Linked DNA regions of Macaca fascicularis. The protein of the gene in region 2 purifies or fractionates together with the protein of the main gene of each other region. This does not show direct contact. Links are inferred from orthologs where the notes say so. Each region holds a gene or a part of one and is shown on either strand. Other genes may lie near its edges.

Region 1 (3,745 bases), on a different chromosome or scaffold from region 2:
TGTTGGCCAGGCTGGTCTCGAACTCCTGACCTGGTGATCCGCCCGCCTCGGCCTGCCAAAAGTGCTGGGATTACAGGCGTGAGCCACCGCGCCCGGCCGCCAGAGTGATTCTTTAAAAATGTAAATTATATCATCCCACTGCTATGCTTAAAATCTTTTGGAAGTTTGTCTCTAGGATAAAGCTCTGAATTCCTTAGGATTTCCTTCTCAGTCTCATTTCTCCGTCCCCTCTCTTACGCTATTTTGAAATTTGAATTTTTAGAATACATGCTTGCAGCCTCAAGAGCTGTTCTCTCAGCTAAATACGTGTTCTCCTCCCTCCTTTTTCTAATCAACTTTGCACTCAACCCTTACAGCTTAAGTATCACTTCTAGGAAACTGACACCCTCTCAACCCCCTAGTTTGAACTTCTCTGTAGAGTTTCTAAGGCTTCCTGTACTTATCTAGCAATTAAGAGCATTATCTTGTAATTCACGTCTTTATCTCTGCTAGACTAAGTCCTTGGGAGGGCGGAAACCAGGGTAAACTTTCCATCTCAATAGCCTAAACGGAGTGCCTTACACACGAGACAGTCGTTCAATTAGCATTTATTCAGTGAGTTAACGATTTTCTTCCTTGGAATGATGGCGGCCAGAATACCAGAAAGATGGGGACTAAAAGGGGACAGAATAATTAAATCTATAAGGAACAAGCGGGAAGGAGTAAATAAATCTCTAAGGAGCAAGTGGGTACGTAGGCTTTTCCATAAATCCCTGTAACCTAAAAGCCGGGGCTGCTCGGCTAGGGGGACCAGGCCGACCTGGCGAACCTGTCGCCGCGACTGGGGCTCAGGTGGGCGCCGCCTGGAGTGCGCGACCCCCGGCGAAGCAGGACAATAGCTTGGAATTCGGCCTCGTGTTTCCGGTGAGGCAGCCTCGCGCTGGGCCGGTGAGGCCCGGGGTGGGGGCTCCGAGCCGGGCCCACGGCAAGGAAGGCGCGGCCCGCTGGGCTCCAGCTGCCGCCACCACCGCCTCCCCCGACGCCGTCGCTCCGCCCCGCCCCGCCCCGGAAGTGACTTGAGACCGGTCCGGAACCTCTGAGCCCGGCGGCTGCAGCGTCACCAGCCGAGCCGGTGCGGGGCGGGCAGAGCGGCCGCTGCCGCCGCCAACGAACCGGGAACCGCGCGGGGCCCAGCAGCACGCCGGCCAGGGAAGGGGGCCTAGCGATCGGTCAGAGGGCGACGGGCCGCCGGCGGCCGCAGGGCGACGAAGACGCGGAGGAGGCGGAGCCCGGAGAGGGGTGGGGGTCGGGGAGGGTTAGGGTGGGAGGGGGTAGGGGGGGTGTCCCTGGGCTCATGGAGCTGGCCGAACGGGCGAGAGTCGGAGAGCCCCCGGAGCCGGGCGGGCGTTCCGAGCCGGGCCCGCGGGGCTTCGTCCCGCAGAAAGAGATCGTCTACAACAAGCTGCTGCCCTACGCCGAGCGGCTAGACGCCGAGTCCGACTTGCAGCTGGCCCAGATCAAATGCAACCTGGGCCGGGCGGTGCAGCTCCAAGAGCTGTGGCCCGGGGGCCTCTTCTGGACCAGGAAACTCTCCACGTAAGTGTGCCCGGGCCTGCAGGCCGGGCCGGGGGGAGAGGCTTAGTGAGAGGTGTCGGGGATGGGTGCTCTTTATCCAGAGGACTGGACCCTTAGCTCTGTCCTCGCTGGAGCTGTCCCCGAGCGGTGGTCCCAGGGTCGTGACAGAGCCTGTGAAGCACTCAAGCCGTCCTCCCTGACACTTTCTTACCGGGATTCCCGGGTCCTCACCAGCCCTGCACGTCCTCTCCATCTGCTTCTCCTGAAGTGTTCGGGTTGTTGTCTTCCCACCTGGGGGGACCTGGGGAGCCCAAGGGCCCCGGCCCCGAGGGAGAGAGGTGAGCCTTTCCCAAGGGTCCTCCGTGGATCTTTGCGCATAGGAGAGGCGGGGCAGAGAGGATTTGCCTTTGGGGGAGTTCTGTGACTTCTCTCCCTGCTTCCTCCGGTTCTTCCTTCCCCTACGATCCCCGCCTCTTCACATCTCCGTTGGCGTCTAGTAACTTTCTGAATGGAAAGGAGACCATTGGGAAACTTAAGGGTTCTGCTTTTTTGGGGCCCGCTCAGACCTGGCGGAGTTGATCGAAAAGGTTGGTTTAAAGTCAGACTTCATTCTTGAGCTTAACGTCTTAGACGTTAATGTGGACAATGTTGTTTAAGATCCTAAGGATTGTGTGTTGTTCCTGTTGTGACATTTCTTTTGGAGAGGCCTTTAAGATACTGAGGAAAGTAGGGAAGAGTACTGTCAGGATGTCCACGGCGATACTCGTATCAGGCTTGTGTTAATATTTTGAGTTACTCAGATTAACATAGATTACCTGAATCAGTTTCAGGAGTTCTGTTTGTAAACTAGCTTCAAACTATAGTGTCACTGAAATTAGAAAAAAAACAAAAAACAAAGAATAAAAATACAGTGGGGGAGGAAAGGTTACATTTACCTGCTGGGTGGGCATCTTTACTGTGTCCGAAGAGCTTTTTAAGAAATAATTTTGCTTTATCTTGTTTGGTTAACTGTACATAAAATCTAGTAACATGGTATGTTCACGCATGTGGGTATGGATGGGTGAACACACAAGACGTAAGTCACTCATTCAGTGTTTACCCAAATCTACTGATTGAACTGAGTGATGACTCAGGGTTTTGTAATAGTTTTGTCCATATTTCTTCACTGGATGATTCTCGTCTGCCAATTATTAAGGAGCCTCTGACAAATTTCTCATTTCCACTTGAGGGGTGGGTGGGAACTAAAATTAAAAAGAAGCAAAACTGAAACATGTAATTTGCCCTCTTCAGAGAGTGATCATAAAATGTCAAGGTTAACAACTCTCCTCCTGACTAGAGTATAAAGAAGTTTTTGGTGTTAACGATCCTTAAGAGAATGGGGGTGAGGGGCGGCAGAAGCAGGAATGCAACAGGGAGAACCACGTTTAGTCAAAAAAAGAATACTTCATAAATGGTTACAATCCAAATGCTTTTTGAAGTGAGACTCCTAGGTTTTTGTGTTACTCAGGCACAGTAAAAATAGTCACTTTGTTACAGTGATTCCCCATTTTAATCACTTGGATTAGACTTGCTGGGAGAATACCTACCATTTTTGGGGACGCAGCCAGCTTTTTTTAGATATGCAGTATATACATATGCCATGGTGCGAAGGCATATTTGGTTTGGATTTATGAACCTAGAATCTACCAAGGCATACTTAAACATTGTTTTCTGAAGTATTTATTGTTATCAAGTTTGGTAAATTAGCACTCCGGGTTTTGTTATTTTGGCTTATTAGGTAAAAGTTTTTACTTAGAAAGGGCTAAAAATAACAGTGGAGCTAATGTTTGGTGTTTAGGGCTGGATTGCTGATGGCTTAATACCCATGAACCTATAACCATTTATATCTAAATAACCAACAAGAAATGCTATCGGGTAAAATTTTGTTTTGGTGTAATGGTTAAATGCTGGAAACTGAGTCTTGTTATTGCACTATGAGACATTTTGAATGCAGTGGGACATGTTGTGATCTTGGGTGTGTTTTTTTCCTAAGTCATGTTAAGGTGACCTGTTTATAGTTGTGCTTGTTTTTTAAGCCTTCTGTGTTGCATAAGTGAACATCTGAATAATGCCAAAACGTGTGACGAAAGCTTGAGTGGTGATCATATTTAGTACTTCGTAGAATAGAAAGTGGTAATGAAAAGAAAATCTA
Region 2 (3,745 bases):
GGGGCGACAGAGCCAGACTCCGTCTCAAAAAAAAAAAAAAAAAGAAATGAGCTTCATCTTCCAGGTAGGGAAACTGAGGCCTAGTGAAATGGGCAGTTATTGCCCACAAACAAGCAAACGTGGTGAGAAAAGCCCTCTGAAGAAAAGGAAATGGTGTGAGAACAGCAGTGACTGGAGAGGGGAAGGCTCACAGGAGACTTCACACTGACAGGAACCCCAGGATGTCATTCTCTGACTCTACCAGGATAGGAAAAAAGGGCTGCGAGATCTCAGTGTTATGTTCTTGAGACTCAGGGAGTTTTAAGAGAAATGAGAACATTTTCTTTTTTAATTGCCTTCTTTTTATTTCTGAGACAGAATCTCACTCTGTTGCCCAGGCTAGAGTGCAGTGGCACAATCTCAGCTCACTGCAACCTCCGTCTCTCAGGTTCAAGCAATTCTCCAGCCTTAGCCTCCCGAGGAGCTGGGATTACAGGTGATCACAACCACGCCCAGTTAATTTCTGTATTTTTAGTAGAGACAGGGTTTCACCATGTTGGCCAGGCTGGTCTGGAACTCCTGACCTCAAGATATCCGCCCACCTCCCAAAGTGTTGGTATTACAGGTGTGAGCCACCGCGCCTGGCCGAAATGAGAACATTTTCTGACAGGCATCCACCCACACTTGTGAACTAGTCTCTCCACCTTCTAGGAAACAAATCCAGGACCTGCCGCTCCTCAGGCCACCAGTACCCTGCAGCACCTGCCCCCTGTGACCACATATTCCCTCCTGAAAGCCTATCGCCATTCTTTTCCTCTCTTCTTATTATCTGGTTTCTCTTGTCGCCTCACTGCTAAATGTAAGGTTCAGCTCTTAAACTGCTACTCATTATTTCCCTCTCTACAGACTTTGTCTCTCCAGAATCTGCTCCCATAGATTTGGCACATTGCCAATGCTTCCCCAACCCTGAGATGTAATATCAAAACCCCAACTGTTTGTAAGATGTTTCTGTTGGGCTTGCCTTGTCCCCTCAAAATTGGTGTCAAAATCAAAGTCAGGCCAGGTGCGGTAGCTCATGCCTGTAATCTCAGCACTTTGGGAGGCTGAGGCAGGTGGATCACTTGAGGTCAGGAGTTCCATACCAGCCTGGCCAACATGGTGAAACCCTGTCTCTACTAAAAATACAAAAATTAGCCAGGCATGGTGGTGCGTGCCTGTAGTCCCAGCTACTCAGGAGGCTGAGGCACAAAAATCGCTTGAGCCTGGGAGGTGGAGGTTGCAGTGAGCCAAGATCACGCCGCTGAGCTCCAGCCTGGGTGACAAAGCAAGTCCCTGTCTCAAAAAAAAAAAAAAAAAAAAGAAAGAGAAAAAAGGGAGGGACACGTTTCTGGAGACAGTCTCGCTCTTTAGGGACTGAGCGCTGACTTCGGCCTTAGAGAGACTCGCGTGGGAATCTTGGCTGACACTCATTGACTTTGCTTCTTGGGCAAGACACTCTCTGAGACCCTCAGTTTCCTCATCTGCAAAATGGGATGGCAACATGGAATCCTCAGGGAGAGGATTAAGTAAGTCCATGAATGTGAGGTGTTTTCCACAGAGCCTGGCACAGCGGAAATGCGGGTAAAAGTTGGTTAGGATACATCTCTGTATCGCTATGGTGTGCGGCAAAGTCTCAAACTCACTGGTGGTGTGTGGTAGATGACTGACACCTTGGCCGGTCAAGACGCCAGGGGAGGATGGTCCAAGAAGAGACCTGGGTGTGGGCAGGGACCCTTGAAACTTACACTGTCTGGACGTCAGTGGCGAGCCCGGCCAGACCGATGTACAGCCGGTCACCCATTGGAAAGATCTTCTGGAAGTCCGTGGTCACCATCTGGGCCTGGATCCCGAAGCGCCTGTCTGCAGCGATGGCCACACAGTTCTTCCCCTTCATGGCCATGACGGCCCCTCCGTTATAGGACATAATAGACTAGGACAGACAGAGCGAAGGGGTCAGCGCGGGGGGTCAAACGCTGCGACAGCCCCCGGCCCAGCTCCTGATGCGGAGGCTCCTGTACGCCCGTTCTCCATTCCGGAGGCGCCTGAACCCCTGGTTCTCCAGCTGGGATGAGCACTGTGTGGCGGCGATGAGCCGCACTCACCCTCTTGGTCCTCACCGGGGTCCGCTCCCCTCGAACTGAAACCGTTTCCTTCCATCTACCCTTGGCCCTTTTCGTCCCCAAGCCTCTCCCGACCCCCTCCGCTTCTCAATCCTTCCCTGTGCTCCTTTGCTTTAACTCCCCATCTCACCATGATTGCGGTGTACTAGGACCCCTCGATCGCCGGAGCAATTCCAGTAAACCGGGTCTAGCCTTCACTGCGCAACCGCTCTCGCTGCTGTCTCTTTATTGGCTGATAGGCGGACTCTTCCTGGACATCTGGGCTTTCTATTGGTCCCGCATCCCTGTCGGTCACCAGTACAGGTAGTTTGGTTGCAAAGTCAAAACGGAGGCGGGAAAAGCGGAAGTGAAAAGTCACTGTGGGTGCGGAAGAGGCTTGCAACACGGTGCATAGTGGGATCTCGGCGGACCTGACTCGGGACTGGGGGCGGAGCCTGCGCGCACGTGGGCTGGTGAAACTGGGTTTAGGGGGCTGCGGCCCCAGCTGAAGGGGCACCGTGACGCTTATCACCGTGATGTATGAGTTCGTCCTATTAGTCGTGCTAGCTTATTTATTCACTCCAGAAATCCTTACGTTTACTGTGTACCAGGCACTTGCCTAGGCTCTGAATAGTCACTGGCCCACAACAGTGCCTGGTATATACGAGGCGCCCATTAAATGTAAATTTAATGATGCAGGTGGGAAGTGGAAGGCGTCGCGGGTAGGCGTCGTGGGTATTCTGCGGCTGCAGGGGTTCAGCTGCGAAGGGGAGTTTGGAAGCCCAAGGCTGTTCTGATTTGGGGGACTTCCTGCGCTCCGACTTCACGTATCTTCAATCTCAGGTCACCCTAAAAAAGGATGTTCCGGGCCTCTCCACGTTTGAGGTAGAACCTGAGGACAGCCAGTCGACCTCTCGCCAAGCCAATGGAGGAAGGGGGTGCACGTCCCGCGTCCTCTCCTCCCAAGCCCTTTCGTCCCCCTCCCCCATCAGGATCCTTCCCTTTCTCCCCCGGGTTCCACTTATTTCGCCCGATGGCGGCATCTCTTACGGCGTCTGCACCGTCCAGGCTCGCTCCCATTGACTCGACTCACCACCACGCCAGCAATCGTCGCGGTCTCTGTGGCGCAATCGGTTAGCGCGTTCGGCTGTTAACCGAAAGGTTGGTGGTTCGAGCCCACCCAGGGACGCGGTGGGTTTTTTTTTTTTTGTCTTTTGGGTTTTGTTCCCCCCGCCCCCCGTAAGATAAAAACCTAAGCCTTTTACTCAAAAGCCAAATTTTGCATAGAAATGGCAGCAGCAATACTTTTTCTAGGAGAATCACTGTTCTTGAAAATTCTTTGCTGCTCAGTCAATAATGGGATAATTTATCTAGCACTTCCCTCCACACCCCCCACCCCGCCTCCAAGCTGGATGGCAGGAAACCTAAAGACAGAGGTTTTGTTTCACTGTGCAAGGAACATGTTTCAGGATGCATTTTTTCGTGGGATTAGGCATGAATTTACAGTGGAGGTTCGACAGTTTTTTATTGTCTGCCTCAGTCGATATTACAATCTCCAAATACTACATTTGGAAGGGAAGGGAATGAGAGAGAGACACACAGAGAAACAGGTATGAAGAGAAACAAAG
Region 3 (3,745 bases), on a different chromosome or scaffold from region 2:
AATATTTTATTACAGGAAAAAATTACATGAAATTCAGTCCAGTGTCTGTAAAGTTTTATTGATCTCACCATACTAATTCATTTACATATGGCAGCTTTCCTGCTACAATGGTAGAGTTGAGTAGACAGACACTGTAAGGCCCATAAAGCCTACAATTTACTCTCTGGCTCTTTATAGAAAAAGCTGGCCAGACGCAGTGGCTCATGCCTGTAATCCCAGCACTTTGGGAGGCCGAGGCGGGCGGATCACGAGGTCAGCATATCGAGTCCATCCTGGCTAACATGGTGAAACCCCATCTCTACTAAAAATACAAAAATAGCCGAGCGTGGTGGGACGCGCCTGTAGTCCCAGCTACTGCGAAGGCTGAAGCAGGAGAATCGCTTGAACCCAGCAGGTGGAGGTTGCAGTAAGCTGAGATTGTGCCACTGCACTCCACCCTGGGCGACAGAGTGAGACTCTGTCCCCCAACACACACACACACACACACACACACACAGTTTGCTAGTTTAAATCAGTGAATTATCCTGGGGAGAAAAAAAAAAAAACCGGGCTAATATCAGAGATAAATGCTATGAATGTACTAAAACAGGCTGATTTGTAATGCATTTGGAGGGAGGTTCCTTATAGAGGATGATGAAAATAGTTGTCTCTGAAGAGGTGACATCTAAACTGAGAACCGAATGACAACACCCAGGGTAAGTGTGTTTTAGACAAAGGGATTATTAGCAAGGGCAAAGGCCCTGAGGCAGGAATGAACATGACACATTTGGGAAACAAATAGCCCGAGTATTTGCAAGTGTAATGAATGAAGGGGCAAGTAGTAGAAAGTGAACTTAAAGGGGAGACAGCTGCAACAGCCTTTTGGATTTCATTCTAAGGTCAACAGGCAGCTGAGAAAGGGTTTTAAGCCAGACAGAGGCATGAACCCGCTGCTCTGTGAGAGTGGGCTGTAGAATGGCATATGCCGCGGTGGTCCAGGAGAGAGCTGGTCCGGGCTTGGATAGGGATGCTGTCGGCTCTGGTGCCGGTGTTGCTACAGGTGCGGAGGATGTCGGCAGAGCCAGAGGCCCACGCTAGCAAGGCTAGGAAAGAGAGGCCAGGTCTTATTCCATCTCTGGGGAAAGACAGAAGAGCCCTAAGTAAGACTTATCTGTCCCAGGCGGAGCAGGGGAAGAAGAGAGCAGGTGGGGAGCCAGTTGGGAGGCGGAAGGTGGAGGGCGGGGCGCGGAGAGACTGGCTTAGACTAGACGATGGGAGGACCCGGCGTCCTCGGACGGCGGGCGGCGAGTGGCGAGAGGCGGGAGGCGGGAGGCGGGAGGCGGGAGGCGGGAGGCGGGAGGCGGGAGGCGGGAGGCGGGGACGAGAGGAGGGCGGGGAGGCGGGGACCCGGCCGGCGGGGGTGGGGAGGCTGGAAACTGGCCCTCGCGAGGCAGCCTGTGCGCGCTAGGGGGAGCCGCACCCGCCGCCCTCCTCTGCTGCACTGCACCTCTCCCTGGCCGGGCTGACCCCGCCTCCTCCAGCCCTCCCCGCCCCACTACCCAGGAAGGCCGTGAGTGGTGCGAGCGCCGCTTTCGCTTTCCCTTCGCGGTGCCCACTCCGTTCCTCGTGCGGCGCTAGGCCCCCCGTCCCGGTCATGGCCACGCTCAGGGTTCAGCCCGAGGCCCAAGCCAAGGTGAGCGCCGCGGGGTCTAGAAAAGGCCCACTGGGGAGGCGTGGCTCGAGCGGCCGGGGGCATCCCCGACCCGCCCCCCAGACTCCCACACAAGTCAGGGGCAGTCCGCCGAGCTGGCGCTCCCGGAGCACCTGCGCCCCGGGGAGGGCGGTGACTGCTGCCTGCGGGGACAGGCGAGGCGGCCGTGGTTCTGTGGGGTGAGGTGAAGCGGAGAGCTGGCGTGGAGGGGAACTCCGCTGGCCTGGAGCCGGGGCCACACACAGACTGGATGCGGGACTGCCCCAGCTACCTCGTGGCCTTTCCCTTAGGGAGGGTCCCGGGGCCCACCCCGTCCCTGTCCTGCTCGCAGAGGGCTCTCAGCACCCCTCCTCACACCTGCCAGGCGACCCCAGGGATCTGGTCTCACGTGAACCACTGGCCCTTCACTGCCAGGAATGTTCTCATCCCCCGTATCCAGCCCTAGGGATACCCATTCCACTCTCCGTAGATCCAGGTCTGCAGAGTTCCACTCCTCCACCACCCCAACCCACCCCACAGGCATCCATCTCGCTTTCTTCAGGTCTGGCCTTAGAGGGATCCCCTCCACCCTTCCCCAGGTCAGGCCCTACATAACCCTAAGGGAACTGTCCTCAAATGAACTGGCCTTAAAGCCAAGTTTCTGAAGGGATGCATGTGCCCCACAGGTGGATGTGTTTCGTGAAGACCTCTGTACCAAGGTAAGACATGCCCCATCAGCGGCCCCACCCCTGCCCAACTCCTACTGCTCAACCCTGCCTCACCACCTAGGATGGGCATATGATGCTGACTCCCATCCTTCTCCATCCCACCTCACACACAGACAGAGAACCTGCTCGGGAGCTATTTCCCCAAGAAGATTTCTGAGCTGGATGCATTTTTAAAGGTACCGCAGCTGGGCAGGGAGCTAGGGAGTAAAGGCCAAGAGAAGGGTCAGGGGCTGTGAGAGTGAGGTGAAAGGAACCCCCTCACCTCCAGCCCTCCTCCCACCCTACACCAGGAGCCAGCTCTCAATGAAGCCAACCTGAGCAATCTGAAGGCCCCGTTGGACATCCCAGTGCCTGATCCAGTCAAGGAGAAAGAGAAAGAGGAACGGAAGAAACAGCAGGAGGCAAGCTGGGAAGACCTGGGAGAAGGGATCCAACCATGGGGGTAATCAACCTTAGTCCTGACTCTCATGAGCCCCTCTTTTTCTGCAGAAGGAAGACAAGGATGAAAAGAAGAAGGGGGAGGATGAAGACAAAGGTACTTGAAACCACAATTGTGGGAAGAGACTTGAGTCCCACCCACAGGAGCTACTCCTAAGGATTTCTTTCTACTCTCCCCTTCAACCCTCACACAGGCTCAATCATGTGACTGACCCATTGCTCACTCTCTAGGTCCTCCCTGTGGTCCAGTGAACTGCAATGAAAAGATCTTGGTCCTTCTGCAGCGCTTGAAGCCTGAGATCAAGGATGTCATTGAGCAGCTCAACCTGGTAGGCTCTCCCCCTTCAACTCTCAGGCTTTAAGTCAAACCATTGTCCTCTTAGTCCCTGCCATTTAGGGCCTGGCACATGCCAGGTTTTAGCAAGAGAGGGCACAGCAAGTGAAACCAGAAGTCCGGGCTCTGAGGCTCAGGAGAGACCTGGCATGCCTCCAGCCAGTGTGGGGAGGGAAGCAAGGGAGAATATGAAACGGAATTGGATAGAGGGCTGATGTGGCATTACGCCATTCCCTCTTCCCAGGTCACCACCTGGTTGCAGCTGCAGATACCTCGGATTGAGGATGGTAACAATTTTGGAGTGGCTGTCCAGGTGAGAGTGCTGCCCCACTTCCCTGCTCTTTTCTAGTCCATGCTTCCTTCTACTTTCCCCCTTGCTTTTTTTCCCTAGGAGAAGGTGTTTGAGCTGATGACCAGCCTCCACACCAAGCTAGAAGGCTTCCACACCCAAATCTCTAAGTGAGTGACCACCCATGTACACACTGTCTGTTTTGGGACAGAGACCTCCTTCTTCTACTCCATACACACTTCTCCTTCCACAGGTATTTCTCTGAGCGTGGTGATGCAGTGACTAAA

The links.
Region 1: the proteins of PSMB3 (region 2) and PSME4 purify together in Homo sapiens (affinity purification with mass spectrometry; 3 studies listed by BioGRID and IntAct, counting the BioPlex papers as one, with this or other methods). This does not show direct contact. The link is inferred for Macaca fascicularis from reciprocal best matches to the Homo sapiens genes PSMB3 and PSME4.
Region 3: the proteins of PSMB3 (region 2) and PSME1 purify together in Homo sapiens (affinity purification with mass spectrometry; 4 studies listed by BioGRID and IntAct, counting the BioPlex papers as one, with this or other methods). This does not show direct contact. The link is inferred for Macaca fascicularis from reciprocal best matches to the Homo sapiens genes PSMB3 and PSME1.

Annotation. Positions count from the first base shown.
Region 1 is NC_088387.1:67,886,176-67,889,920, forward strand, and holds the start of PSME4 (proteasome activator complex subunit 4), read left to right. Parts: upstream 1-1,057; 5' UTR 1,058-1,333; coding exon 1,334-1,575; intron 1,576-3,745. UniProt on the Homo sapiens protein: Associated component of the proteasome that specifically recognizes acetylated histones and promotes ATP- and ubiquitin-independent degradation of core histones during spermatogenesis and DNA damage response.
Region 2 is NC_088390.1:59,738,548-59,742,292, reverse strand, and holds the start of PSMB3 (proteasome subunit beta type-3), read right to left. Parts: upstream 2,340-3,745; 5' UTR 2,272-2,339; coding exon 2,269-2,271; intron 1,949-2,268; coding exon 1,764-1,948; intron 1-1,763. UniProt on the Homo sapiens protein: Non-catalytic component of the 20S core proteasome complex involved in the proteolytic degradation of most intracellular proteins. This complex plays numerous essential roles within the cell by associating with different regulatory particles.
Region 3 is NC_088381.1:91,949,728-91,953,472, forward strand, and holds the start of PSME1 (proteasome activator complex subunit 1), read left to right. Parts: upstream 1-1,518; 5' UTR 1,519-1,633; coding exon 1,634-1,672; intron 1,673-2,355; coding exon 2,356-2,388; intron 2,389-2,510; coding exon 2,511-2,573; intron 2,574-2,687; coding exon 2,688-2,798; intron 2,799-2,886; coding exon 2,887-2,932; intron 2,933-3,066; coding exon 3,067-3,164; intron 3,165-3,413; coding exon 3,414-3,482; intron 3,483-3,560; coding exon 3,561-3,628; intron 3,629-3,711; coding exon 3,712-3,745. UniProt on the Homo sapiens protein: Implicated in immunoproteasome assembly and required for efficient antigen processing. The PA28 activator complex enhances the generation of class I binding peptides by altering the cleavage pattern of the proteasome.